Linked DNA regions of Notamacropus eugenii. The protein of the gene in region 2 binds, or shares a complex with, the protein of the main gene of each other region. Links are inferred from orthologs where the notes say so. Each region holds a gene or a part of one and is shown on either strand. Other genes may lie near its edges.

The links.
Region 1: EXOSC2 (region 2) and EXOSC5 share a complex: the UniProt entries of both Homo sapiens proteins name them as parts of the RNA exosome core complex. The link is inferred for Notamacropus eugenii from reciprocal best matches to the Homo sapiens genes EXOSC2 and EXOSC5.
Region 3: EXOSC2 (region 2) and EXOSC7 share a complex: the UniProt entries of both Homo sapiens proteins name them as parts of the RNA exosome core complex. The link is inferred for Notamacropus eugenii from reciprocal best matches to the Homo sapiens genes EXOSC2 and EXOSC7.
Region 4: EXOSC2 (region 2) and EXOSC6 share a complex: the UniProt entries of both Homo sapiens proteins name them as parts of the RNA exosome core complex. The link is inferred for Notamacropus eugenii from reciprocal best matches to the Homo sapiens genes EXOSC2 and EXOSC6.

What each region holds. Positions count from the first base shown.
Region 1 is NC_092876.1:29,841,239-29,848,276, reverse strand, and holds the start of EXOSC5 (exosome complex component RRP46), read right to left. Parts: upstream 3,008-7,038; 5' UTR 2,922-3,007; intron 2,422-2,921; coding exon of another isoform or gene 2,213-2,421; intron 2,211-2,212; coding exon of another isoform or gene 2,001-2,210; intron 1,999-2,000; coding exon of another isoform or gene 1,782-1,998; 5' UTR 1,726-1,781; coding exon 1,590-1,725; intron 621-1,589; coding exon 507-620; intron 1-506. UniProt on the Homo sapiens protein: Non-catalytic component of the RNA exosome complex which has 3'->5' exoribonuclease activity and participates in a multitude of cellular RNA processing and degradation events.
Region 2 is NC_092872.1:482,371,921-482,379,633, reverse strand, and holds the start of EXOSC2 (exosome complex component RRP4), read right to left. Parts: upstream 3,014-7,713; 5' UTR 2,924-3,013; coding exon 2,802-2,923; intron 2,428-2,801; coding exon 2,326-2,427; intron 1,336-2,325; coding exon 1,290-1,335; intron 415-1,289; coding exon 325-414; intron 1-324. UniProt on the Homo sapiens protein: Non-catalytic component of the RNA exosome complex which has 3'->5' exoribonuclease activity and participates in a multitude of cellular RNA processing and degradation events.
Region 3 is NC_092874.1:43,356,055-43,363,506, reverse strand, and holds the start of EXOSC7 (exosome complex component RRP42), read left to right. Parts: upstream 1-4,440; 5' UTR 4,441-4,579; coding exon 4,580-4,636; intron 4,637-7,452. UniProt on the Homo sapiens protein: Non-catalytic component of the RNA exosome complex which has 3'->5' exoribonuclease activity and participates in a multitude of cellular RNA processing and degradation events.
Region 4 is NC_092872.1:713,908,003-713,914,798, forward strand, and holds EXOSC6 (exosome complex component MTR3), read right to left. Parts: upstream 1,865-6,796; 5' UTR 1,782-1,864; coding exon 861-1,781; 3' UTR 518-860; downstream 1-517. UniProt on the Homo sapiens protein: Non-catalytic component of the RNA exosome complex which has 3'->5' exoribonuclease activity and participates in a multitude of cellular RNA processing and degradation events.

The DNA.
Region 1 (7,038 bases), on a different chromosome or scaffold from region 2:
GAAAGGCGGAGGGAAGGGAGGGAGAAAAAAATTTGGAACTCAAGATCTTACAAAAGTGAATGCTGAAAATTATCTTTACATGGAAAAAATAGAAATTTTACAAAATAAAAGCTTTCTTTCCTTCATCTTTACAAACACAGGAGGAAGGCACACCTCTTCTCTAGGAAGTCACAGCTGGGCAGTGTTTACAGAAGAGGATTACAGAGCACCTTTCGGTTCCTTCCCGTTTCACTGCGGCCTATCCTGTTCCCAGCTCTGCCTGCCTGGTCTTTGCATCAGTTCCTGGAAGTCTTCCCAGGCTTCTGAACTCTTCCTATTTCTCACCATGCTGGATCCATGCTCCAGTCTGTTTTCACCATCCCCTGATCACCAGCAGGTGATCTCTTCTCTGCCCCCGGCTCTAGGCTACCACACAAGCAGCCCCGGACAACATCCCTGTAACATCAGCTGCTCCCTCAGTCTGCTTCTGGCGATGGGGGAGGCGTCCCACCCCCTTCCCTGCTCACCAGGCAGCCCTATTTTGGGCTTCAGAATCACCTCCAGGGTGGCTTTGTTGAAGATCTCCTTACTGACTTTGACCTCTGCCGGACCATAGACTCCAACGAGGACCGAGGTGTCACCTGCAGAGAGGGGTGCAGAGGAGGAAGAGGCATTGGCTCCGGGAGCACCCCCACCTCCCTCTATATGAGACGCCCTTGATGACAGCTAAGGCTTCCGGTGACACCACCTGAAGTCAAGACTCATCTTCCTGAGTTCAACCTGGCCTCAGACACTTACCCTGGGCAAGGCTGCCTCAGTTTCCTCATCTGTAAAATGAGGACATGGGGAAGGAAGTGGCCAACCACCCCAGTATCTCTTCCAGGAAAAACCCAAATGGGGGCGAGAAGAGAGTTGGGAAGGACAAGATAAGAGCTACGGAGGGCTGACGTGCACTTCCCAAGTTTCCCGTTGGCTCCTGACAACAACCCCGTTACATAAATGTTATTATGACCCCCACCTGACAGATAAAGAAACTAAGACCGGAAGGGGTTCGTTCCACCGGCCAGTCCGTGTCAGAGGCGGGATGAGAACTCGGGCCTTTTCCACTGAAGCCCGCGGCTCCCCACTCCCTGCGGGTTTCCTTACCTCCAGCCAGCAGGGGAGGCCTCGGGGGTGGGGACGGAGGCTGGAGACCCGCCCCGCCAGGCCTCTCCGAGCGAAGCCCGAGGCCACAACACGAGGCTGCGCGGGGCGGGGGGCGGGGCCTCACTGGTCCGGGAGCTTGTCCCGTGCACCCCGAAGTGGGCAGGCCCCGGACAAGGAGGACAACGGGAGGCCCCCAAAGGGCGCATTTTACCAACAGCCCTGATCCCGCCCCGGCCCGTTGGAGATCGCTATTTATACGGGCACCTACTGACCCACGTGCGGGGAGTAAATGGGGTACCTGCCCCTCTCTTGTGCTGAAAGTGCATTCGCCTCCAGAAGGAGGAAAAGTGCTTATAATTTACTGAGGAATGGTGGCCCCCCCCCATCCCTCACGGTGGGCCCGAGTATTTAGCCGGAAACGGGTATTTACCCGGAAGCAAAGGTTCGGAAGGATGGCACCTTACCCTGCAGGAAAGAGGCGGAGCCATCGGGTCGGGAGAGCAGGTTCTGTTCGCAGGCGAAATGCCGGAGGCTGCAGCCGGAACCCCGCGAACTTGGATCCGCTTCGGGTCCGGCGCTAGGGGCGAACTCCGTCTCCATCTCAATCCACGTGAAGGCCGGCCAGTACAAAACTACTTCCGGGATGGCCAGGGCGCATGCCTGAAGGTCTTGGGGAGCATGCGCAAGCAGTTTGTTTGTTTGAGCACGTGGTTTCGGCTTATTTCAACCTCCCTCCCCACCTCCTCTGGACTGGCGGAAGAGGGCGCGTGAGCCATAATCGCGACGCGCTTGCGCGAAGTTTGTTTGTAAAGGCTGGATTCCACGTTTTCCCTCAGCCCCGCCCCCGACCTAGGCCAGAGGGAACTATTAGGTCGCTGGAGAGAGGAGGCGGAATCAAAATGGCCCGCGGTCGTATCCCAGCCCCGGGGAGGTGAAGGGGCGGGGCGCGCACCAGGACCCGGGCTCAGAGGGCTGGCCGCACTTCCGCCTGAAGGCGCCGCCGCCTCCGAGGCCTCTGAGGCGAGGGACAGAGCTAAGGGGGAGTGGCGGACCGGGGCTGCCTCCCTCGCGGGCCGTCCCGGGTGGCTTGGAGGCGGGGCCGGCTCACGTGGGGCCGTGGGCGTGGACAGCTTTTTAGGCGATGGACTTGCCGGCCCCGGAGAGAACCTGGGTGGCGGTCGCGGAGCGAGACGGTTAACGGCTTCAGTCAAGATGGCGGCGGCGGCGGCACGAGCCTGGGCCCTGCGAGGGGGGCTGGCCTTGGCCCGGCGGGGCCCTCGCGGATTGGCGGGATCCGTGAGTGCTCCCGCCCCCGGACCCCGAGGGGAGCGCCAGGAAAGAGAAAGAGACCCCTCCCCTCGGGAGCCCCTGAGAGAGGGATGGGGAGACCCCCCCAGGAGAGGGGGGAGCAGGGAGACCCGAAAGGCTGGGGAGGATTCCCCAACTCCCTGCAGTCCTGCCCCCCACCTGGGTGACCTTCGGCGGGACACCTCTTGTCTCTGGGCCCAGTGTAGAATGAAGGGGCTCCTGCGGACTTTCTGTGGTGCGGGGGAGGGGCAGGGGGCTGGCCCCGGGGAGCCCTGGCCCTCCTGGGAAGCAGGACTGGGGCAGAGGGCCCCAGGACTGCCGGAGGACCAGGGCAGGGTCAGCCTGGCAGCGAGAAGGTCTGCTCCCAGCTCAGTGGGGATGCCTCCACTTGTTTGTGCGGGAGCTGGGCAGGGACCAGGTGCCTGCTGCTCATTGGCCGGGCCAGGGGGCGGGAGGGAGGCCGGGCCCCCTGGGCGGGGGAAGGTCACCTGGTCTCGTTTCCCAACCGTCTGTCCCCAGGCGCTGTTCCTGTTCTGGTCTTTCTGGTTCCTTGGTGGCGGGGCTCTTTCTGGGCTGGAAAGGGAGGGAGGGCTTGGTGGCCCCCGACCAGCATCATGGGGGCGGGGACTGAGTCCACTGCTACCTCCTCCCCTTGCTGGCCGGGTCATAGTCTTTCTGAGCCTCCTGGGCTGGTAAACCCCTGGCAGAGTTGGGGAGAGGGGCTTCTTTGGGGTCTTTAGGCTGTGTCTATAGTGATCAGAGGCTGGGTAAGTCAGAGGGGGGTGGGAGAATGGGGCTGACAGTGTCTGTTGGGTTTGGGTCAGCCTCCTGAAGTTGGCCCAGTCCTTCCAGGGGACCAAAGCCACAAGATTCAGCCCCTGACCCAAGGTAGTCTCAGTACAAAGATAGTCCATCTGTGAGACTGAGTCATTTATGGACTTTTTTCCTTAGGTCCCTTTATCTTTGAGACCTTTGAGATCAACTCCTTCTTGCATTTTTAAGATCCGCAGATCGATAAAGTGAATTTTAAAAACATGAGATAGTCCTTTGTAAGCCTAAAAGCAGTATAGGAATCTTAACTGGAGTTTCCTCATCCCCTCAGCTCATGGGACAGGCATCACCGAGAAGTGGGGGGACCAGGAGCTTCCATGGGGTGGGGGCTGGGCTAGGCATGGGCCCTTACTGTGCTTCAGTCTCTACCCCGATTCCCAGTGATTGTGTGTGTGTGAACTAGAGGTTGGCTAGGGAGGTGTGAGTGTGCACACTCAAGTATCTATGTCCAGGTAAGGGAGGCTAGTCATACTCACTGGGACTGGGGAGGAAAGAGACCTCTTTAAGAGACCTTCCCATGATGCTCACACACACACACACACACACACACACACACACACACGAATAGAATGTGTCCCTGTGGGCAGTGGCGGTAACTGTCAGGGCAGGATGAGGGGAGCTGATGGAGTGGTGACATTCTGTCTGTGCCCATCCAGCCCCAGGGTCTCAGTCAGCACCTAGAGCCTCTGGCTGCTCTCAGGCCACCCACAATCTGCAGTCTTCCATTGTCCTGGCCAGTTGTCTCTGGTAACTCTTTCTCTTGGCACAGGCACCTTCTTTCTCATCCTTTGAATACCCTCTGTTACCACAAAAACATGAAGCCTTTGACCTTCAGTTGGTTGTGAACAAGTCACTTCATTCTGAGCCTCAGTTTCCTCATTTATAAAATAGATTGTTGTAAAGATGAGATCAGACGATATGTGTCAGGAGTTTTACAAACTTTAAAGCCATACACAGAGATGCCATTTGTCCCTTTGAATCCAGTGCAAGCTCTGCCCTGGCATTGGAAAGGCCTGAGGATATACTGAGGTGATGGATGGAAATGTACTCTGAAGGCAGAGACCAGACTAGGTGGGCCATGTGCTGGTGCCAGTGTTGCTGATACCAGAACCCAACAACAAAACCAACCAGTGGGGACGAGTTTGCTGTGTTTGAGGGCCTGAAGAAGGTCCCTGGCTATGCATTGGGAGGCAGCTTTAGGGAAGACCATTGTAAAGTGCCTGGCAGGGGCAAGGCTGGGCAGGAGCCAGTTGACCAGAGTTGTGTCTCTGAGGGAGTGTCTGTCTGGGCCAGACTGGGCCTACCCTCACCACCTTCCATTTGGGAAATTATCAAGCATTTCCCATGTGCTGAGCACTGCAGTTACACATGTAATAAAAGAATGTTTCTGCCTAAGGGCATCGAGGCATGGGGGTGTGAAAGAGAAGGGCAGAGGAGGGCAGGCTGGAAGGCAGGCTAGAAGACCGGCTGGGCCACTGGTGGTGATAATAGGATCTTCCTCCCAGGGTTGTTGTTTAGAGCAAGAAGGAAGGAAATAAGAATTCATGAAGCGTCTGCTGTATGCTAAATCCCATTTGGTCTTCCCTGTACCAACCCTGGTAGGGAAGTAATATAATTATCCCCTCTTTACAGTTGAGGAAACTGAGGCAGACAACGTAAGTGACTTAAAGTTATACAGCTAGCAAACAGATCAGGCTGGATTTGAACTCAGGGCTTCCTGAATCTGGGCTCAGCATTCTACCCACTGCATCCCTAAACTCTTAAAAACCTCCTGGGACTCCACCTGTTTAACTTTATAAATAAGGAAACAGAGGTCCAAGGAAGTTGTAAGGATTGACCACAGTCCCCTGGGGAGAAGTGAGGCAGCTGGTGGTACGGTGGTTGGTGCCCTGGGCCTGGTAATTCAGCCTCACACACAAGCTTCATGATCCCAGACATGTTACTTTGCTTCTGCCTGCCTCGTTTCCTCACCTGTTGAATGGGGATTATAGCCCCTCCCCTCTGGGGTTATTGGGAGGGTCACTAGCTGTTAATTGGCAGAACCAGGATTAAAGCCTGCTTCTCTCTAAATCTAGTATTCCCGCCAGGACACACCCATGCCCTGGCACCCATCTGCCTTTTGTGGAAAACTGATCTATCAGTTCTGAAGGCCTCTAGGCCTTGTCTCTACTTGTCCTGGGTGGCTGGAGGCCAAACTCCCAAATAAGCTTCCTGAGGGCAGGCTTCTTCCCCATAGAGCCACACCTGTGTGACCAGTTCTGCTGGGCGCACAAAAGGGCATTGCCAGGGATGGCTGCCAGCTCCCTAACTAACTGGGCAGGAAACTCCAGTGGGTATTGCCTCTTTTGGGAGGCAAGATGTGAGCAGGGCTGCAGCCTGGGAGGGACCTCAGAGGGTGACTGGGCCAGTGTGTCAGTGGAGAGGAGGCCCCTTCAGCAGCATGCCTGACAGAGCTCACTCCTTGCAGAAGCACAAGAGGTTTTTGCTGATATTTGAGGGAGGTGCTTGTGGGGGCCCCACCCTTCTGACACATTTGTCCTCCCTTCTTCTCAGGCCGCCCATTGGCAGCAGGAAGATTTCTCATCCCTGGATGAAAAACCCCAGTTCCCTGGAGCCTCTGCTGAGTTTGTGGATAAGCTAGACTTCATAAAACCCAATGTCATTTCTGGCATCCCCGTTTACCGGGTTATGGATCGCCAAGGACAGATCATCAATGCCAGCGAGGACCCTCAGGTGATGACCTTGCAGGGGTCTCATGGCCCCCTAAGCCTTTCCCCCAAGCCCTCTGCCACCAACCACACCCTTCCGCTTGCTCTGTCCTCAGCTGCCTCCGGAGGTGGTCCTGAAGCTGTACAAAAGTATGACCCTTCTCAACACCATGGACCGAATCCTTTATGAGTCCCAGAGGCAGGTAAGTGGGGTCCAGCCCTCTGGGAAGGGGAACCACAGTTAGACACACTCCCCCCAAGGCCATTCCTGGGGTCAAAAGAGTCATGGGAGCCCTTGGAGCTTGGGGAAGAGACCCTGGCAGGGCAGACTGAAGCCTGTAGCCTCAAGATGCAGGTACTCAGAAAGCTGACTTCTGGGAGCCTGCCTTAGAGGGTAGGGGAAGAGGAGAGAATGTCTTAAAGGGGAAAAAAGGACAGGAGTCAGTCTGAGACCCAAGTGGGACAAGAAACCCCGGGCTGCCTGAGGTCCTCTTCTGGAGGCTGACAATGGGTGGCTAAGACAGTAGCCCCCATTATGGAAAGGTGACTGCTCAGTGCTGGGGCTATGGGGGATTCCAGAGAAAATGTCCGACCCTCTGGATCTCTGGGGCCCAGCACAGTGTCTGGCTCAGAGTCAGAGCTTAAAGGAGCAGTGACTGGTGGGCTGGTGCAGCCAGAGAGGGAAAAATGAAAGCTGTGTGTAGAAGGATGGGGAGGTTCCCCACTTTCTCTGACAATGTTCTATTTGGGCCCTCCTTTTATTCTTTTCCCCTTCCTCCATGCAGGGCCGGATCTCCTTTTACATGACCAACTATGGGGAGGAGGGCACTCACGTGGGCAGTGCAGCCGCCCTGGATGACACAGACTTGGTGTTTGGGCAGTATCGGGAGGCAGGTATGTCCTCTACCCACATGAGCTGGGGCCTAAAGCTGGAGCCAGGGTAGTTGGGCAGAAAGAAGGAAGACCATATGAGCCTATCATGGTCCTTCCCAGTGCTCCAGGTGCTGCCTATCCAGGACCTGTAGGGCAGAGGCAGCCAGAGAAAGTGGGTGCAGACTGCAGCAGG
Region 2 (7,713 bases):
AGAAACATGCTGTCTGTGTAAAGCAGTACAGAGTTGGAGCAGGAAAATGAACAGAACCAGGGGTCTTAGTTCTTGTTGTATACGGACCTTTCAAATAATATTTCATGTTACATTAAAGTAAGAATAAACATTGCCTATGTTGAAAAAATTTAGCACTCCATCACTTAAAAGAATGATGTTTTAATCCTACCAGTAAATTTCCTCTACATTTTCTTAGAGCAATAATGGAACATGCCAGTGATGTCCACTGTCTGTGTAGAAATCCCAAGCTTTAGTAGCTAAGGCTGGACAGCAGGAAAATGGAATTTAGCTGCAAACGCTCACCAGCTCTCCTCCTGGAAGGTTCATGGATGACAGAAGCAAGACTGAATCCAGCCTGGAATTGGTCTCCACCTTCCACCGCTTCTGTTGAACCTACAAAGTAAGAAATTCTAGAGTTACTGACTCAAATTACATGAATCCAGACTCTGGACAGTCAGTGACCCCAAATATTACAGCCTAAATTTCTGCAACAAAAACAACACAAATTACAATTTAACTAATCATGCATTACAAAATACAGGACAGTCCTCTACCAAAAATTGTGTCACAGGTTTGACTTTTTTTAAAGCACACAATCTCTACGAATTGGTTCAGCCATCCTGAAAAGTAATTTGAATCTATGCCCCAAGTCACTAAGCTGTGTGTTTGTACCATTTGATCAAGCAATGACACTTCTAAGCCTACACACCAAAGAGATCAAATAAAGAGGAAAAAAATCCATGTGTATGAAAATAATTATAGCTGTTCTCTTTGTTGCAGCAAAGAACTGGAAACAAAAAGAGTATTCAGTCATTTGGGGAATCACCAAACAGCTTACAGTACAGGAAAATAGTGGTGACTGATTGTACCGTAAGAGTCGTTGAAAGTGACAGTTTCAGAGAAAGCTAGAAAGACTTATATGAACTGAAGATGAGTGAAAGGAGCTTAAAAAATAAATTCAACTCAAAAGTCTTTTAAGAACTTTAACCAAATCAACGACTACTCACAATTCTAGAAGAAGGTTGATGGACAAAAGATGCACTTGTACATTTTAGGGCTTGGCAAAATGTGTTGACTACACTTATTTCCATAAGCAAAACAACTTTAAAAGTAACATGATGACTCATATACTTTTTTAAAGGATACAAGAAAGTTATGGTTTCACACATAATTGTCTTCTGTTCTACTTTATATACATAGAAACATTCCCTGTTTGCTTGTGAAATTCAGAATTTTTTTAAAAACAAACTTCTTGATTCAAACTTTACCTCTGTGATTCTCCCCACCACAATGTCTCCTACTTCCCCATTATACCTGAAAAAGACAAGTCAATCATTAGAAAATTTATATTTTTCAATTTTCTTTTCTATGAATTTAATAATCATCCACAAACACAAATATTTCAGAAGAGAAGCAATAAAAACAAGGATTGTATATGAAAGTGTAAACTTCTGTAACAGTTTGGGTTTTTTCAAGCATATACTAAATTTAAGATACTGGTAACAAAACTGCTCTAGGTGTCCCATTTGGAACTTATTTTCTGTGCACTTTTTAAAAATGTCCTATCAATGATCTTTTCCTTTTTTCTACATCTCTATCAATCCCCACTAACTCTCAACACCAATAGAAAGCCTCCATTTTAACAAATTAGTATAGTTAAGCAAAACAATTCAATGCACTGGCCAGATTTGAAAATGTAGGTCTCATCCTGTGCTTCTAGCCCATCACTTTCTTGACAAGAGATGTAGGGCATGCTTTGTCACCAGTTTTCTGGAGTCATGACTGTTCAATGCAGTGATCCAAGTTTGTTGTTACTCTGATTAGTTGCTGTACTTCTTTACCACCTCTCTTGTACTGCTTCATTTAACCCTTATGTGTCACTTCGCTTTTTATGCATTTCAGCCCAGCTAGACTACAAGTCACTGAAGGCTATGAGAGTATTTCACTTTCCGATACCACCAAGGATATATGAGTGTGGTTTAATCCTTGAGGAATTTACTCCCGCTTTAGAACTAACACAAATGTCAAGCCTCTCCGTAACCTAACAAGGAAAATTATGGCTAGACAAGAGAAGTGCTCGTTTGCCGTTAAAGAATATCCAGAATTACACCAAGAACCGAAGTTCTGGTCCATCCCCACTCCGTTCTCCAGAGGTTTCTGCCGGTATCACTTGCACTTAACGATGTTTAAATAAATAAATAAAGGATTTAGCCCCATTTCCCCCACCTTCAGAGTAGGCTTTACAACCTAGGCTGGGCCCCCCAAAGCCCCGCCGCGGCCACCCCCGGGGCGGAGCAGACACACCTCGTTTTCAAGGCCTTCACGCAGATCAGCTTGTTCACCCTCTCCACGGAGCCGGCCACCGAGGCTATCAGCTTCTCATCTCCCATGTAGGTCCCATGGCCCCTGCAACAAGACCCAGCCGTCACCCAAGGCCGCGGGCCCCGCCTGCTCTCCCCCTCGGCGCTACCGGGGGGCAGGGGCTGCGGAACCTTCTTATCCCCATCGTGGAGCGCCGCTCCTGGCACGCAGCTGGACGCACGGACACTTGGGAAGAGGGACGGGAGGACCCAAGGCCGTGCAGGAACAGGTGTGAGGACAGTGGGCACCTGCAAGGGCACTCAGGGAAAAGCCACGGAAGAAAGGGATACGCAAGGACACGCGGGGACAGAGACTCGTGCGGGCGGGAACACGCGGGTCTTAGGGAAGGGAAAGAGGAAGCCCGAGAAGCACGTTAAGGAAGGCTCTATGGGAGCCTGACCGGAGCCCCTGCCGCGCACCGCATGAAGCCGGTGTCCGTAGTGATCGTGTCCCCGGGCACCACCAAGTGCTTCTGCGTGTCCCGGTCCAAACTCTCAGGTAGCCGCTGGCGAGCCACAGGAAGCCGAATCTCCATCGCCATCTTGAAGCCCAGAGGGCCGCGCAAGCGCACCCGACCCTAGAGAGGCTGTTTCCGGTTCTAGAACTACTGGCAGCCAGAAAATGAAATGGGGCGGAGCAAAGTGGGGGGCGGGACGAAAAAGGGGCGGCACTTACTTAGATAGCTACCAATGGGGACCCGCTGCTGGACGGCCATCTTTTTTATTGGAATGAAGGACTATGAGTAGTTTCAAGTACTTAAATGAAGGGGAAGAGCAAATGAAGTTCCCATATTTACTACTGGCGACCCCTTCCCCGCCGTTAACATTGGCTCCAATACACTACTTTAATGGGGATAGGACTTAGACGTCGTAGGCTTAAAATTATTGCTTGGGGAAGGAAAATTTTAAATAATAGAATAACATTAATTCCTTAACATTTTATGATTCTCATTTCCCAATTGATAAATGGTCAAAGGATATGAATAGAAAGTTTTCAGAAAAAATAAAAACTATCAATAGCCACATGAAAAAATGCTCTAGACTGAATCACTATTGAATAGAAAAATTCAAATTAAAACAACGCTGAGGTACCAGCTCACACCTTTCAGACTGGCTAATATGACAAAAAGGGAAAATGACAAACGGTGGAGAAGTAGAGTTGCGAATTAGTCCAACCCTTCTGCCCAAAAGGTTATAGAACTGTTTTAAACCCTTTGGCCCAGCAATACTAGATATGTAGGAAAAAGAGATTAAAGTAAAGGGGAAAGAACTTATTTGTTCAAAAATATTTATAGTCCATCTTCTTGTGATAGCAAAGATTTGAAAATTAGAGAGGGATACCTATCAATTTTTTTTCTTTTATTTGTTTTCAGTGTTCTACAATCACTTCCATGTATCTTCTATTTTTCCCCTCCTTACCCCTCTTCCTTCTCTACCTTCTCACTCCCTCCCTGAGACAGCATACAGTTTTATATAGGTTCTACACATCCATTCCTATTAAATATATTTTCACCATAGTCATGTTGCATAGAAGAATTAAAATGAACAGGAGAAATCATAAAACAAACCAAAACATAATACAAAAGAAAATGATCTGGTACATTCTGCAATCGAATCCCACAGTTCTTTCCCTGGATGTGGAAGGCATTTTGCCTTAAGAGACCATTGGGAATTATTTAAGTCCTTGCATTGCAGTGAAGTACTGAATCTACCAGAAAGATTCCTCCCACACTGTGGTTGTTGCTGTGCACAAAGTTCTCCTGGTTCTGCTCCTTTCACTCTGCATCAGTTCATATAAGTCTTGCCCGGTCTCTCTGAAGTCTTCCTGTTCATCATTTCTTACAGCACAAGAGTATTCCATTACATTCATATACCACAATTTATTCAGCCATTCCCCAATTGATGGACATCCCCTTGATTTCCAGTTTTTGGCACCCACAAAGAGAGCTCCTATAAATATTTGTGTACATGTGGGACCCTTTCCCATTTCTATGATCTCATTGGGATAGAGTCATAGAAGTGATATTGCTGGGTCAAAGAGTATGCACATTTTTGTAGCCCTTTGAGCATAGCTCCAAATTGCTCTCCAGAATGGTTGGATCAGCTCACAGCTCCACCAACAATGAATTAGTGTTTCAACTCTCCCACATCTTCTCCAACATTTATCATCTTCCTGTTTTGTCATGTTAACCAATCTGATAGGTGTGATGTGGTACCTCAGAGTTGTTTTGATTTGCATTTCTCTAATCAATAGTGATTTAGAGTGTTTTTTCATATGAGTATAGATAGTTTTAATTTCTTCCTCTGAAAACTGCCTGTTCATATCCTTTGACCATTCATCAATTGGGGAATGACTTTTATTCTTGTACATTTGGCTCAATTCTTTATGTAATTTAGAAATGAGGCCTTTATCACAGACACTAGTTGCAAAAGGTCTTTCCCAGTTTTCTGTTTCCCTCCTAATCTTGATTGCCTTGGGTTTGGTTGTACAAAAACTTTTCAGTTTAATGTAATCAAAATTATCTATTTTGCACTTCATAATGCTTTGTATCTCTTGTTTAGTCAAAAATTTTTCCCTTCTCCATAAATCTGATACAGTATTCCTTGTTCCACTAATTTGTTTATAGTATCAATCTTTATATCTAGATCATATACCTATTTGAACTTTATCCTTGTGTATGGTGTCAGGCATTGGTCTATGGTCTATGTCTAGTTTCTGCCACACTATAGGATACCCATCAATTGAGGAATGGCTGAACAAATTGTGGTACATGATTGTGATGGAATATTATTGTATGATAAGCAGGATGGTTTCAGGAAAATCTGGGAAGACTTCTATGAACTGATGCAAAGTGAAGTGAACAGAACCAGGAGAACAGTATATACAGTGACAGAAATATTGTGTTAACAGGACTTTACTGAGTCAGTCTCTAACCTGAGAAGGATGAAATAGCAGGCCAGAGACAAAGTGCCAGTAATCAGGTAGCTATTTAATTAATTAGTTTCACTATAAGGAACAGATTTGCAAATTGGGAATTCCCCTAATCAGAATTCCACCTTGCTTAAGTGAAGACAGAGATTATATACATAATTCACAATGGGAAGGGAGGGGGGAAGATGGATTACAAACAATAAACAATTCTGGAGTTCTGCGGGAGCAATATTACTTGAGTCTTTAGGAGGTCATTACTTGGTGGATCACAGGACCAGAATTCTGTAACCAGAACAGGCTCTATAATTTTTGATTAGCCTCATTTCAGGTGTGTAGGCACAAGGATGTTGGTAACTGTGAGCATTGTCAAAGTTTGACTGCATTATGAGTCTGATTCACTAGCTGGAGAGGCAACTCTTGAGAAAATTAAATTATTAGTATATTCATTCCACATTATCATGTCCATTAATATGAAAATTCTGATTCCTTTCTCAATTGTAAGAATGGTTAACTGTGAAAGACTTAGTACTCTGATCAAGAAAATGATACAAGACAACTCCAAAAGACCCATCGTGAAAAATGTTGTCCACTTTCAGAGAGAGCTGACAGACTCCCTCCTCTTGACAAAGGATTCAGAAGTCAAGTAACTGGCTGGGAAAATGCCCAAAAAAGGGGAAAAAATAAGACCATAGAAGGTTACTTTCTTGGAGAACAGGTGTCTCCTTCCATCCTTTCAGATGAGGAAGAACAAGGCATACTGTCAGAGGAAGTCAAGGCCTCTGCCTCCAGTACCTCCAAAATGAATATGAAATGGGCTCAGGCCATACAAGAGCTTGAAAAGCATGTCAGCAGCCTGCTAAAGGAGAACCAAAAAAAATTGCTGAGGAAAATAACACCCTTAAAAAGAGGATAACTCAATTGAAAAAAGAGGTCCAAAAAGCCAATGAGGAGAAGGAGGCTTTAAAAAGCAGAATTAGCCAAATGGAAAAGAAGGTTCAAAAGATCACTAAACAAAATAATTCTTTAAAAGAGAGAATCAAATTCATACAGCTGACAGACTCTACTGGCAGTTTGAAGCAAATTTTTCTTAATTTATTTTTCTTGTTTTGTGTGTGCATTTATTCTTTTGCAACATGACTAATATGGAAATATGTCTTCACAACTTCACACATATACGCAATATCATATTTCTTGCCTTCTCAAGCAGTGGGGGAGGAGGAGAGAGAAGGAGAGAATTTGGAACTCAAAATTTTTTTTAAAGTATGTTAAAAATTTTTACATGTTATTGGGAAATATTTAATGATATAAATAAAATATATTTTAAAATAAATGAAACATTTTATGTCTCTTTAGTTTTCAAAGTGCTTTCGTAATCTCTTCTAAGAGACAGTGTGGTACTGGGGAAAGAACTTTGCATTTGAAGTCAGAGGATATGGATGCATATATAGAGTCTGTCGCACTGCCTCAGTCACTAATACGTGACTGAGCAAGCCAGTTAACCTTAAGTAAAACAGAATGTTGGACTGGATGACCATTTTAGGATCCTTCTAACTAAAATATGATTTTATTTTTCTATATCTTGTTATCCTTATGATAGGACTGGTAGTGATTTTAAAATCATATAATCAGAATCTCATAATCTCAAAGGTTGAAGAGATCTGGGAAGGTGTAGGATGGGAATAGGGGGACGTTAAGTCCAACCCAAACGTGGCCAAAAAGACAGGGATCCCTCTGACAATATACCCATGTTGCCACTCAGCCCTTCCTTGAAGACTTCCCACGAGGAAAACCTTACTACCTCTTAATACCATGTTCCACTGTTAAATTGTTCTAACTGTTAGAAAGTTTTTCCTTACATGAAGTCCTCAGAGCTGGGCTGACCACTTCTCCCCTGAGGGTTTTCAGGGTAGTCCTAATGCTAGGGGGTTTCTAGTACTATAGTTTCTGTGTGCCCACCTGTGTGATAATAATTAGCCAGTTGCCACCATTAGTTTTTAGAAAAAGGGATTTACTGAAAGGTAAAGAATAGTTGGTACTAAACATTCTACTTTCCCCACTCCTAAAGAAACTAGGGATACTCACTCCTTGTTTATAAACGTTACCCCTATGGGGAGAGCTGACAAATTTAAAGGCAATGGGCTTAAATAATGGCAGTGAAGCAAAGTATAGACAGAGAACACTTGTGGCAAAAGGGTACCTCCCCACTCTTGGCCCTGAAAGTCCTTTTCTCCCTCCATGAAGTCCTCATGAAGTTCTCCCTGGATGTTGCTCTTTCTTTTTCTCATCTTAGAGAATCAGTGCATCGCTATAATTCATAGTCAGCATCCCTCTCTGTTACAAAGGGTCACAATCCCTAAAACTTCTCCTCTGTTCTAGTGACTGTTTTTCCAGACCTATCTG
Region 3 (7,452 bases), on a different chromosome or scaffold from region 2:
AAAAACTATACATAAGGACCTCTCTGGGCAACATGTTTTTTATTCTAAGTTATCGTGTTTAATATTTCCCAATTACATTTTAATTTGGTTCAGGCTACGCTTGGGAAGTGTTGTAGGCTGCATTGAGGCTACATTTTTGACACCTCTGCTCTAAAACAGCAGTTCTTCTCCTCTTTTTTGGGTCTTGGATCCTCATTCTGTCAGTTTGATGAAGTGTACGGCCCTTTAGAACATTTTTAAAAACACACACAAAAATATATAGCTTTATAAAGGAAACCAATTATGCTATAATGCAGTTATCAAAATATATTGAGTCCAGGTTAAGAATGCATCTGTCTAAAGACATGCATTCCTCTCTCCCTATGCAGCAGTTCTGGAGTCAGCCTTTTCTTCCCACCTCCAATCCAGTAGACATCCCGGCTAGGAAAATCTTACTTTGAGACATCTCTACTTTCTCTATACCAAATATCCATCTTCTGTTCCTAAAATCCAGTCTCATATCACTCTAACCACACAAGTTTTCTTTAGTCTTTCAATGCAACACACCTCTGCAAAAAACATACCCCTACACGTCTGCAGCATGGGGACCCTTGGAGGTGACCTTCCCTTTGCTGACTTGACCTTGTCTGTATGTTGTCATCTGCATGTTGTCTCCCCCATCAGACTTTGACATCCTTGTGCCATTCTTTGTACCCCCATTTCTTAGTACAGTGCCTGGTACATAGCAGACACCTAATAAATGCTTATCGACTGACTAGCTGATGTATTCCCACTCACTCATTTTACAGATGAGGAAACTAAAACACAGTGAAGTTAAGTTACTTACAGCAAAGGTCACATCATTCGAAGTTGTGCTGCCTGAATTGACTACAATCAGGTCATTTGACTACAAAATCAATACTCCTGCATGGCCACTTTGTATGGGAGGAGTAGGGAGAATGATACCATCTGTCTCCTCTTCCAGTAGCACAAAGTCTTAGATAGTAAAGAACCATGTGCTTTTTACCTCAGTTCAGTGAGATGGAGCCTTGTGGATACTCAAATATTAACCAATAAAAAATTCTACTGAGAGCTGAGGCAAGGGGGAGGGTGGGAGGGTTCTTAGCAGGGTGCATTAAAGTGCTTTCAAAGGTGATTAAAAATGGCCAGATGGGAGTACATAGGCACCAGATATTTTACTGGAGAACATTCCATACTGACAAAGTTTGGAGGAAAGAGTCGTTTTACTTTGGAGAAAAAAGAGGATTCAGTGAGAGTATGAGTTATTAAAACTCAACTTTTTCCATAATAGCTCTTTAAAATCCACTTTTTTCCTTTGACAAATATCGTTTGAAATTTCTTCTGCCCAGTCTTGATTACTAAGAAAAATGGATTCCCAGGGTGATCTTAGCCTTACCTTGCAGGTATTATGCATTTAAAAGACAATGCCCACCTCAACCACCACAGCAAAGCCAGGGCTTACGTTTCCTTGGAGCACTGCCTAAAACTCACCACCTACCCAGAAAAATGCTGGAACTAAGAGGCCTGGCTTGTTGGCTAGTGGAGATGGCTACAGCTGGGCCTCCTCAGCCTCTCCTTGCCCGGGCGCTAGGTCCTCAGAAGCTCCTTTCTCAACATTCATTCTGCAGCCCTCCCTCGAAGACAGGCAAGCACCAGGTTTTCAAGAAATGCTGCTAGTGCCTGCCATGGGTCACACGATATGGCCAGATTCTATTTGCCACCCCCTCCCCCCCAACCTTCCCCAGTCTCCAAGCAGACCATGGGCAGCAGCCTCCTACTGGGCACCATGTCCATCATGAAGTGCTCTTCCACTCACAGCTGTCCCCTCCCACTATCAGTCAACTCACAAAAAGACCAGGAAGTGAGCTGCAAGGAAGTATTCCTCAGTTCCTTCCACAAACTACTCTCCCCTTAAAATCTCAGAAATCGAGAAAAGAACACCCCCACCCATCTTATCAGATTTAGGTGGTGAGAAGTAAAAAGGGAAGAGTCAAAGCATGGGAGGAGGGGAGGAAAGCCTGGGCAGAAGAGCTTCAGATGGAGGGGGGTATTCATCACTCAATCCCAGACGCACAGAGCTGGAAGGGACTTCAGAGGCCCTATCATTCTAATAATTAAATAGTAATTGCTTCTCTTTTACCCAGGAAACCTGAGGGTCTTCCTCTCCCAGTTCAATTTTTTTTTAAAGGGGTAACTATTTAATTGAATGGGTGTATCTCACTCAAAGTGAGAACATGATAAGACCTTAACCTGAAAGGGCCAGGGTCTCACATTGCACTTATCAGGCCACTGGATGCTGATGGCTCAGGAGAAGAAAGCGAGGCCAGTGACCTTGCACAGCCCTCCCTCACTCAGATCAAAGTCAACTGCAAGTCATGTCATCGTCTTGATGTCACGGTCCTCTTCGAGAACAAAGGACAAACACAGCAACAATCATTCTACCAGTAAAGAAGAATCCTCTCTATAGCACATGGGTCATGCAGTATTGGCTTTGAGACGTTCAGAGATTGAATTGTTGGGGTGTTTTTCCTCACTCCAACCCCATCCCCCCACACAAGAGCCCTTCAGTTGAAGATGGCCATCCATGTTGCACAGTCCCTTCTTTCCCCCTCACTCCTGCATCTTTTACCTGCCTTTTACCACCCTAATCCCTCCATTCTTTCTGGAGAGTATCTTGTCAAAGTCCTTCCTAAAAGGAAGGGACCCTAAACAGAACATAAGATCCAGATGTGATCTGGTGAGAGAAGAAAACTGTGGGTTGAGTACCTCCTTAGTTCTGGGCACTGTCTCCCTAAAGTGGACCAGTATGGCATCAGCTACTGTGGTCAATGTATATGACACCATTAACTCATGCTGAGCTTTGTCGATGTAATTAGCTATATATGTCATTTACAAACTTGATAAGTTTTTAATATGTCTTTATCCAATTCACTGACTAGAAAAGTTCAAATAGCACAGGACCAAGGAGGCAGTGTGGCACAGTGCAAAGAGGGCTGCATTTGAAGTGAAAAGGCCTGGGTTCAGCTCCATCTGTGCAACCCTAAACAAGCCCCTTATCCTCTCTGGGCACCGGTTTCCTCCTCTATAAAGTGAGGGGGCTGATTAAATGACTCTGAGGTTGAACTAGTACTAAATCTACTCTACTATCTACCCAACAAACTTTTATTCATCAGCATTTACAACATGCAGAGCATTCTGTTAGGCAATGAAAAAAAATCACCTACATAAAGGTTTAGAAAGGCTTTCAGCTCAATCTTGGGAGATAGATCTGTATTAGTCTTCCCACTTTATAGATGAGGGAGCCGATTTTGAGGAAGGTTAAGTGATTTGCTCATGGTCACACTGCCAAAAGTCAGACTGGTTCAGAGATTTGAATCTTCTCAAAATCCAGGACCTTTTCGCCTTCGAGCGGAGGTGAAGAAAGGAAAGAGGGGAGGCAAGGGCAGGGGCACAAGGCTGTGGGGGTAAGGGGAGGCAGGAAGAGGGGCAGGGAAAAGAGGAGCGAGGGGAGAGACAGAAGGTGATAGGGGATGCGGAAGAGGCAAGTTGAAAAAGGGAGCAAAGGATAGGGCAGGGGAGAGACAGAGATCGAGGGAAGGGCAAGGGGAACAGGGACCAAAGAGTAATGCGGGGACGGGGTGAAAAGTGGAGGCGGCAAGGGGGGAAGGGCAAAGGGAGGGGCGAGGGATGATAGTGGAGCGGGGGAAGGGAAATGGGGAACAAAGGGAGGGGCAGGAGAGTAATAGGGGAGCAAGGGAGGGGCAGGAGGTAATAGAGAGGGAGGAGGGAAAGGGAAGCAAAGGGAGGAGCAAAGAGTAATAGGGGAACAAGGGGAGGGGCAGGAGGTAATAGAGAGGGAGGAGGGAAAGGTGAGCAAAGGGAGGGGCAGAAGAATAATAGGGGAACAAGGGGAGGGGCAGGAGGTAATAGAGAGGGAGGAGGGAAAGGGGAGCAAAGGGAGGGGCAGGAGTAACAGAGGAGCAGAAGGGGGGGTGATAAAGGAGAGGGGGAGGGGCAGCAGGTGGCACGCGAGCAGGGGGAAAGGGCAGCTGAAGAGGAGTGCCGGACGGAAAGGCAGCAAGTGTGGGACCCGGGAAAGTGGAAAGGGGTGAGTGGTGGGGCAAGGGGAGCACGCAGCCCCGGGGCAGCGGCTCGCTCCGGCAGACTTCGCTAAACTCCGGCGCCCAGGAAGAGACTCCCGGCCGGCCGGCAGGTGCCCCGGCCGCCCTCTGGCCCTCGGTCCGTCCCCAGCTGCCCCCCGGCGCCGCCGCCCCCTCGCCCTCCCGCCCTCGCTCTGGGGGCCGCTGCCGCTCCGGGGCTCGGGGGCCGCGGCTCCCGGGACTCACCCAGACTTCGGGGCGGGGCGCAGGAGCAGCCCATCGGGCTCTCAGGCGGGAGGCAGCAGCGGCGGCAGGAGCGGCCGCCGCTCGCTGATGACGCGGCGGGAGCGGCCCCAGGGGCCCTGGCGCGGGCGGATGACGCCACAGTCGTGCGGGGAGCGCGACGTCCGGAGCGGCGCCGAGGCGGAGGGCTCTGAGGCGGCGGCGACGGCGGCCGAAGCGTGGCCGGACGGGGCCTCATGGCGTCCGTGGCGCTGAGCGAGGCGGAAAAGGTGTACATCGTGCACGGTGTGCAGGTAACGAGCGAGGAGGCGAGGCGAGGCCCGGACCCCTCCTGCCTCGGCCCCGGCGCGCTCCCCCTCAGCCTTCCCAGACGCCCCCTACGCGCGTGCGCCCTGCCCTCCCTTGGTCGTTCGGAGGCTCTGCGCGCGCACGTGGGGGCCGGTGTTTGGGGAAAAGGCTTAGAGATGGTCTACTGTAGAGCTGGAGTAAGGGATCTCAGACTACCCTTTCTTACAGATGGGGAAACTGAGGCCCCAGGAGGAGAGTAAGTGCCTGGCCCCAAGCCCCGTAGAGTTAATTAAGCTCGGAGGACTGTGGTGAGCCTCCAGTGAGATGTTTGTCAAGCTCATTGTAAACGTCTGGACGTGTTAGTGTTCCCCAGAGTCGGTCAGGCAGCAGAGAACTGGAACCCAGACCGTCCACCTCTGGGTCAGATAAGCTGCTTTTGTCTGTTAAGCGCTTCTTCTGGCCCTGGCCTCCCCTTCCGAGGTGGCCTCGGCGCTTGGCGGCATCCTGATGTTACATTGTAGCTGCTCAGGCATCCTCCTGTTACATTGTAGCTGGGCTCGAAGTCGGGGTCCGGAGGCTGGCACTTTCTCTGACTCCCCGGAACTGTGGTTTTTATCCCAGACGAAGAGACCTACAGAGCACCTTTCTTTAGCTCCAAACGTTGCCCGGGTTAGCTTCTCCCATCAGTACCATAAATTTCCCAGATCCAGCTCGGGTTGAAGGAAACTCAGAAGTTCCTGTTAGAAATAGGGTAGGAATGTTGGACCCAGAAAGGGAAAGTATTCCTGCCTACCTGAGTATTACCTCCCCGAATAGCAGATGATGTACTCTTTGTCAGAGTTCTTTGAAAAATAACAATTTTATAGGTGGGTGAGGTGATGTTGTGAAAAAGATTTCACAGTTGGCACAATTGCATTGGAAGCTAAGACAGAGCTGTCAGTTACCCCTAGGATTTGGCAATTTACGTACCAGAAGGTGTTGGGATGGTTTATTTGGCTTGAAAGTTGGCAATCAACCTCTGAAAGCGACATCCCTTCCCCCACCCCCCCCAAAAACCAGAAAACCACAACAAAATGTCAGCCTTTCTCTGCTGTCATCCTTACTGTCCCAAGCCACTGCTACATTCTATTGCCTCCTTTCCTCTCTATTGCCCTTCTCCTCCCCTCCATATAATCACACTTAAAGCTAGATGCCTGCCCAACTCATTATGTTTTATTGGCTAGGATCATTAGTCCTCTCTGTTGTAGATTAATGCAGATTTGTTTTTCAATTGTTCCTCTCTGCCTTCTCCATTATCTCTGTTTTATAGCTGAGGAAACTGAAGTACACAGTAGCAATTTACCCTGGTTGAATTTTCAGCCTTAAGAGAAATAGAGAGAGCTCGATTCCATCTTTTTAATCTCCAGTTTATCCAACTGGACCATATGCATTCTCCCTGGGAAGCTGGGGAAGTGGAAAGGAGAGCTATTAATGAAGCTTCACTAAACAAATCACCTGGGTCTTCCATGGCAGTTCTTTGCATGTGCCACATTTAGTCACTTGACTTCCTCCACAAAAGGATGCTTTTTCACTATACCAGGTTTGGTTGGATGTGTCTGAAATTATATCTATTTATTTTGCCTCTTATTTTCTTTTTTTCACACCTTGCTCATCCCCTCTCACTGGGAGTTTAGTCACCTTGGGTCAGATGTCCATTCTGCATTTCGGTATTTTGTCTCTAGTAGTGTCAACAAGGCATAGGGTGTTTTTTTTAAAAACAAACCCAACAGTTTGTTAATCCCCCATGGTTTATCCTTTGCCCAATCTGTCTAGTCTTGACAAGAACATGTCCCCTAATTCTGTGGTGGCTATTTTTAATGACCTTGGCTGTACAACAACATTTCCACAAACTATTGCATGGAATCCTACTGTTCTATGTGATAGGGACAGAAGTTCCATGAGAGTTATAATTATACTTTTCTAAAACATTAAATATGAAATTATGTCTTTACAAAAAATTAAATACAGCATCTTTCAGTATGAAAATAGGGTTAATTTTCTCTCCTGCTCCATAATTTCATAATTTCCCACTCTATTTAAAAGTTTAAAAATTTCTTCTTAAGGGAAGTTTATTTTGAGGTTTGTTGGTGGGGGAGGCAGGGAGGCAAATGGAGCTACACAGCTAGTGTCTGAGGCTGAATTTGAACCCAGGTCCTTCCGACTCCAGGGCTCGTCCTCTATCCACTGCTCCACCTAGCTGCTCTTGGAAAATGTTCTTTAAAGTTTTATTAATACTTTTACTGTCACTTTGTTATATAACATTGCCTCATCCCTCTCTTGTAACTACCCCTCCCCCAAATAATCCACTTATACAAAATCAAACAATACAGCATTTGTATCTGATGATGTAGGCAACATATGCTCCGCTACTCCATTGTCTCTTCCTAATGGGCAGAGAAGTGGGTTCCAATGTCTGTCTTCTGGTCACAGCATTTACTCTTACCTTTGTTTTTGTGTCAGAGTGGTCATTGTGTACATGTTAGAATCACAGAATTTGGAAAGAACCTCAGTGGCCGTCCAGGCCAACTGAAATCTGATCAGTTATTCTTCTGCTTTTGCTTCGTTCAACCCTCCTCAGGTCACTTTGGCAAACCTTTGTTAAGTGCCTACTGTGTGCTAAGTGCTGGGGATGCCAAGACAAAAACAAAACAGTTCCTGACACCAAGTAGCTTAAATTCTGCTAGGGGGAAACAACATGGACATGGATAAGTAAAGAAAAAGTAATGTTTTTGGTGAGGGAGGAGCAGAGAGCACCAAAAAATAGGGAAGGTTCCATCACTTA
Region 4 (6,796 bases), about 230 Mb from region 2:
CCACTGCAGAAACTGAGACCAAGTGGGTGGGCAAAGCTGCTCAGGGAGGTGCACAGCTGCTTTTTAGTGAAGTCTGAGCAGCAGCACCAGCCTTAGGCAGTGTTTCCTTTAAATGCATTACAGCTTTGTCTCAGCAGTGCCTCAGCAACCTCAAAGGTGGCACTCTCTAGGGTCACATCCAACAACTGTGACCACCTTGGGGGACAAAAACATGCCTTGAGCGAAACTAAATTTGGCCCCGGGGGGGGGGGGGAGGGTCCCAAGACAACTTGTAGCAGGGTGCTGGGAGGCCACGGATTTCCAGTGGACCCAAAGCTGCACGGACCTGGCGCAGGCGGACCAGCCTCAAGCCCTGCGATGGCAGAGAACCGCCTAACAGGCTTCCGGCCCCGCCCTGCAGTCAGAGCACGAGGCTTGGCACACAGCAGCCACCCCTTACCTGGCCCTCAGAGGGGAAACGAGGAGAGGCGCGCGGGGCAAACTGTGAACGAGAGAAGGCGTCACAAAGAAGCCCGCGTGCAAAACACCAGAGAATCTTTTATTCGATACAAACGAACAACTGGCTCGGTGGCCCCGAGGTGCTCGGTCCCACCAGGCGGGGGGGGGGGGGGGGGGGGGGGGCAGTGATGCGGTCCGTGGTCCAGGCAGGGCTCCGGGCGTGGGCAGCGGGTGCCGATGAGGGGGGATTCCACCTGTCCTCCCGCTCAGGCCACAGGGTCAGCAGCCTCGGGGGTCACGCTGTCCTCGTTGGGGGCGGGGATCCCGGGGCTGTGCGGGGCAGGAGGATGGGGGGTCCGCTCCTGCGGCGGGGGCTCCAGGGCAGCGGGCGCCGATGAGGGGCGGTCCGTACAGTCCTCCGCTCAGGCCACGGGGTCGGCAGCCTCGGGGGTCTCTCCGTCGGCGGCCCCGGCCTCGGGGGCCTCGAGGCTCTCGGGGGCGGCGGCCCCGGGCCCCGCGCCCCCCCGCCGGCGCGCCGCCCTCAGCAGGCACTGCTGCAGCACCGGGTAGAGGCGCTGGCAGCCCTCGAGGCCCAGGCGCACGGCGCCCGCCCAGCTCTCGGCCGCGCAGGCCTCGCCGCTGCCCAGCAGGCCGGCCACCTGGTTGAGCACGGGCATGAGCGCCACCGTGAGGCCGGCGGCCGCGCGCTCCTCCTCGCGCCGCGTGGGGTCCAGCTGCCAGGCGGCGTCGGCGCCCGCGCCGCGGCTCAGCGCGCAGCCCACCACCAGGTCGTACATCTCGACGCCCGCGTCGGCCAGCGCCAGGCCCGCGGCCGTGAGCGCGGCGGCCAGCGCCGAGCCGCCGTCCTCCAGCAGCAGCGCCGACACCTCGAGCTGCGCGCGCGGGTAGCGGCCCAGGCGCACGGCCGGCTCGAGCGCCTCCTGCAGGGCCAGCGCCAGCTCGCGCTCCTCCGCCCCGCCCCCGCCGGCCCCCGCCGCGCCCGCCGGCCGCCGGCGCCGCGGGCCCGAGAAGGGCGCCCGCCGGAAGTCGCAGACCAGGCGGCCGCCCGCGCCGCCCGCCGCCCCCGCGCGCTCGCCCTCCACCGGCCGCGGCCCGGACACGGCGCACAGCACCTTGGTGCGGCCGGCCTCCAGGTAGGCCGAGCCCTTGGCCTGGCTCAGCAGCCCGGCGCGCGCGTACACCGGCCGCAGGCGCGAGGGGTCCCGGGGCCCCGCCGCCCCGTCCCCGTCGTCGTCGTCGTCGTCGGGCCCGGAGCGCACCACGTACAGCGAGGGCGGCTGCGACTCCTCGGGCCCGCGGATGCGCCGGTGGTCTCCGGGCATGACTGCGGCTCGCGGGCGCCTCCGCGTCCCACGCCGCCGGCCGCTTCCGCTCGCGGCCGGCGTGGAGCCCTCGCAGCTTCCGCCCGCCTGAGGAGAGCGCTGCTGCCCCCTGCTGTCCGGGGGAGTGCGAGCGTCCTCGGGCTCCGAGTGCGCAGGCGCCCTGGGCCCGAGAAGGCCACGCACGTGCACCTCTGAGGGCACCACCCACAGGCTCCCATGCACCTCCGAGAGCGGCAACCCGTGCGCCTACGAGCATGCATGCACCTCCGGGGGCACCCGCGGACCTGCATGCAGCCTGAAGGGCTGCAGCCAGGGCACCTGCGGGCCAGCATCCACCTCCGAGGGCACCCGCGGACCTGCATGCTTGAAGGGCTGCAGCCAGGGCACCTGCGGGCCAGCATCCACCTCCGGGGGCACCGGCGGACCTGCATGCTTGAAGGGCTGCAGCCAGGGCACCTGCGGGCCAGCATCCACCTCCGAGGGCACCCGCGGACCTGCATGCTTGAAGGGCTGCAGCCAGGGCACCTGCGGGCCAGCATCCACCTCCGAGGGCACCCGCGGACGTGCATGCTTGAAGGGCTGCAGCCAGGGCACCTGCGGGCCAGCATCCACCTCCGGGGGCACCCGCGGACCTGCATGCTTGAAGGGCTGCAGCCAGGGCACCTGCGGGCCAGCATCCACCTCCGAGGGCACCCGCGGACATGCATGCACCTCTAAGGGCTGCAGCCAGGGCACCTGCGGGCCAGCATCCACCTCCGAGGGCACCCGCGGACATGCATGCACCTCTAAGGGCTGCAGCCAGGGCACCTGCGGGCCAGCATCCACCTCCGAGGGCGCCCGCGGACATGCATGCAGCCTGAAGGGCTGCAGCCAGGGCATCTGCAGGCTTGTACGCACCTCAGAGGGCAGCACCCCCACAGCCCATTAGTTACCATTAAGATTCTTGGTCAGGCTCTTCTCTACTTCCAGTCCCACCAGGACTTCACTACTTTGTATGTGTCCTGTTCTGCCCTGGTGCCAGGACAGACCGAGCCAGAGAGGTCCCCATGTACCTTGGACAGAAGCATAATATTCTTGGCTGTGCAGAACACCCTGCCATTCTACTGGCAACCAGGTCGTCCTCCCTTTTTCAGATTTAGTCCCTAGGTCCTTTTGTTCCACTCCCAACCCTCAAATTTGGGGCTTCAAGGTGGAGGCTGATGTCCTCTCAGACACCCTGACTCCCACTTTCAGTAATCTCAATCTCCATAACCTACATGCAACGTCTCTGAAATGCTGTGCGAACTTTAGAGTCTAGATATGGACCATTCTGAGTTTTATCTTCACCCTACCGCCATTCCACCCTGACTGACTTGCAGCTTGTGGAGAGGGAATCAGAGATTAGGAAAGGGTTCTTGTAGATGGTCTTTGATTTTGAGTTTTGAAGGGAACTCAGGATTCAAACAGGCAAGTGAGGAAGGAGTGTGTCGGAGGTATTGGTGGTTCTTAGTCCTTCATTCTGGAAGATTTTTGTAAGATTGGAGATGGGAGTGTTGTGGGCACTGGGAAGTAAGGTCCACTTGGCAGGGCCCACAAAGTATGTGAAAAGTTGGAAAGTTTAGTAAAGGGCATTTGATGCCCCAGGAATTTATGCTGAATCTTAGAACATCTAATAGGATCACTGGGATTTATTGAACAGGGGAAGGCTATATAGTCAGACCTGTGCTTTAGGCAGTTTTGTGAAGGAGGGATGGGGTGGAGAGATGAAGTAAAGAAGGAGTCCACGCAAGCAGGGAAAAGAGCGTAACCCAGGTGGTGGTCCCTGGGCAATGGGGCTGGAGGCAGAGGTGGCAGGGGAGTCTCTAAATCTGGGCTCAAGACACTAGCTGTGTGATCCTAGGCGACACATTATTAACCTCTTTCCTCCCAGAGTTGTGAGAATTAAATCAGATATTTGTGGTTTGCAAACTTTAAAATGCTAACTAAATACTATCAGAATCTATGAGACTGGGAAAGCAGAACTCTTGACTATGCTATGGTAGCTGCTTCCCCCTATTTTAGAGGGGTATGTGTGGTGAAAAGGCAAGGATGACAGGTTTGAACATTAGACTGCAAGGAGGATGCTGCCTGCCCAGGCAGACCTCTGTTTGGAACAAAGGCCCATGCTCTCTTGGAGGGTTTCGGGTTTGCTGTGTCCCTCACACTGCATGCTTGCACCCCATCTCCACCCCCCACAATTTGATCTCTCCTTGGTCCATGGAATCCTTGGTTTCCCTCAAGAGTCTGTCTAAGCATGGGCCACAGAAGGTGGCCTTGCTGTCCCAGGTTGGCTCGTCTGATCTTTTGTGTGGAAGGTCCTTAGGCCTAGCGCTGTGCAGCTTTTCTCTGTATTCCCAGCACTCAGCAGGCTCTGTGGGACATACCAGTGGCCGTGCTTAATAAAAAGCTTGATATTTGATAGGGAATGAATGCATCACAGTGATTTGTGTGTTGGGTGCTTAATGCATTCATTCATTCATTCATCCACTTCCTATCCCCTCAACCACTGCCTCGTAGATTTTCAGATCTCCTCAAGCCTCAGAGGCACTGGGTTCAAATCTCACCTGGACAGTGTCATTTCATTTCAAGAGCTTCAACAGCATTTTCTCCCTAAAGTGAGGATCCTGCTGCAGTTTCCTCACAAGAAGACATGCTGCAAGGATGGTGATTGGCAGACTTTAAAAGCATTACATACACGAGCTCTAGTACCTCTGCAATCTTGAAAGCACACAAAGGACAAGAGGCCTGCACAGGACTCTGCACATCTGCCTGGGAGGAGCCAGCTCATCGAGTGCCTGCTGATGCCCACATATCCAAACCCGTCTGTGTCTTCCTGTCTTTTACTTTAGGCTGAGGAAGCTGCTGCTGCTGAAGTCAGGCCATTTGATGATTCTTTCTTGTTTACTGTCTTTCCTCATCTGTTGGCTCCATCAGTACAATCTACATTTTCCCTGTCTTCCTAAAAAAACCTAGACTTGATCAAAGGGGAGAAAGTGTTACCTAAAGTGAAGGGAGGAAAATGGGAACAATTTCTACATTGATTGATGAAAAAAACAGAAATGAAAACATTGAAAGACATTAGAACTCAGGGCAATGTAGTGACTGGTCAAGGCTTCAGAGGACTGAGGATGAAGCAGGGGTCCCACCTTTCCATTTTAGCAAACAGGTAGATGATGGAATCCATTGCAGGTCGAGGCACACGTTGCATTGATACGTTTTGCTACAAGGAAGGGCCTCTGTTTGAGGGGAAGTAGGGGATAGGGAGTTGGTTAGTGAGAGTAAGGAAAAAATAAAATAAAGTTTGGAAGTGGAAAACAATCAGGCAGTTTTGTTACTATGTTAAATTTAATATATACTTTAAAAAACTAAGTTTCAGTTTCACAAGCAAGCCTCTTTTCTGTTCTTTGTACATTGAAATGTTTGTTGACGTTTAAGTTCATAATTGGAAAGCCCGAGAACAGTCTTGGCCTTTAAAGACTCCAGGCTGGCCAGGCCTTCGAGCTAGTTCTGGGGAAGGATTCTGGACTTTCCTGGGAAGACTTGAGCTGATATAGAGCAAAGAAGCAGAAGCAGAAGACCAGCATGCACCATGCCACTACCAGTGCATACACAAAGCCATTACCAAACAGCCCTGGTATCTGCATCCAATACCGTGACCAGCGCTGGTCCCAGGTGGCTGACATTAAACTCACTTAAAGATGATCCTGAGTTGGGGGTATTTTGTGTGGGTCACTTAAAGATAAAACTAAAGTGGAAACATCTCTTTCCACCTAGACCCCTCCTGCTTACTTTGGAGGATGCCCCGGAGGATTCTCTCCTCTTCACCTCGTATTCCTTTCTCATCATCGTCTAGTTTAGTGGGTTCTACCTCCTTCAAACGTCTCTTGCATGATCCCCCACTTCCCTCCCCCCAGATTCACCATCCTAGTCCACCTGGACTAGAAGCTTCCATTTGCCTCCCTGCACCTTGTCTCTGGTCTCTCCCTCTCCCATCTTTCATACAGTGGACAAAGTCATTCCCACGGCTCTCCTCCAGCCCCTAGGATAATATACTCATTCTTCAGCACGGGCTAGAAACGCCACCTCTGCCTGTAACCCACCCCTTTCTTACAGTGGCCATCTTCAGGACTCAGCCTGGCTGCCACCTGTCCTCAGATCCCTTTTCTTGTACATGCTGTGTTCCCTGGAAGGCTCTCTGGTCTGTGAAGGCAGTCACAGCCTGGTTTGAAGCTGGTGCTGCTAGTTTGCTGAACACCACAGCCCCGGCCCCTCCTCATGGCCAGGCTCTTCTGAGTAAGGGGCTTCTTAATTCTTCTGGAAGCCCAGCTACTGCTTCTCGCCAGGATTAACCTGAGCCAAGTATCCAAGTGGTTGTCTTCTTCTTGTGAACAGAGGCCATGGAGGGCACAGCCTGGGGCTATTCAGTACTAGAGACATGCATCTTGGCAGGTCAACAGAGCTGTTTTTCAGTTGGGAAGCACCCCGTGCCACTGACACTCAGGCCCTACTCACCAGAGTGGGGCTTGATCTCCTAAGAGAACACAACACACCTTCAATTCCAGACAGGAACTGGACCCAGGTGCAGGTCAGAGAGCTGCATCAGCTCAAAGTTTATCATCTTAACGAGCTGCTCTGTGGAGCTGAGGGCTGTTAGCGACTTGCCCAGGATCATCTGGCACATGCCAGAGGAGGGACCAGAGGCTATCCTTCTTGCCTCCAAGGCTTGCTCTCCCATTCACTATGCATGCCAGGGCCTGGTGCCATGATGACTGCCCCCTCCTCCATTCCCTCTGCTACTCTTGCTGGGATCCCTAGGGTTTGGTTCAAGTACCTTCCCTTCCCAGGAGCCCAGAGACAGAAGCAGGCCCTCGGAGCAGTAGCTTAGGGAAGAGGCATTAGACAGGGTCATTTTTTAGAAGTCCCACCTACCCCAAGCTCCCCATCTCCTTCTTCTCCAGAAAGTTCTCTGGGACAACCAAATGGCTCTGGGGTTCCAG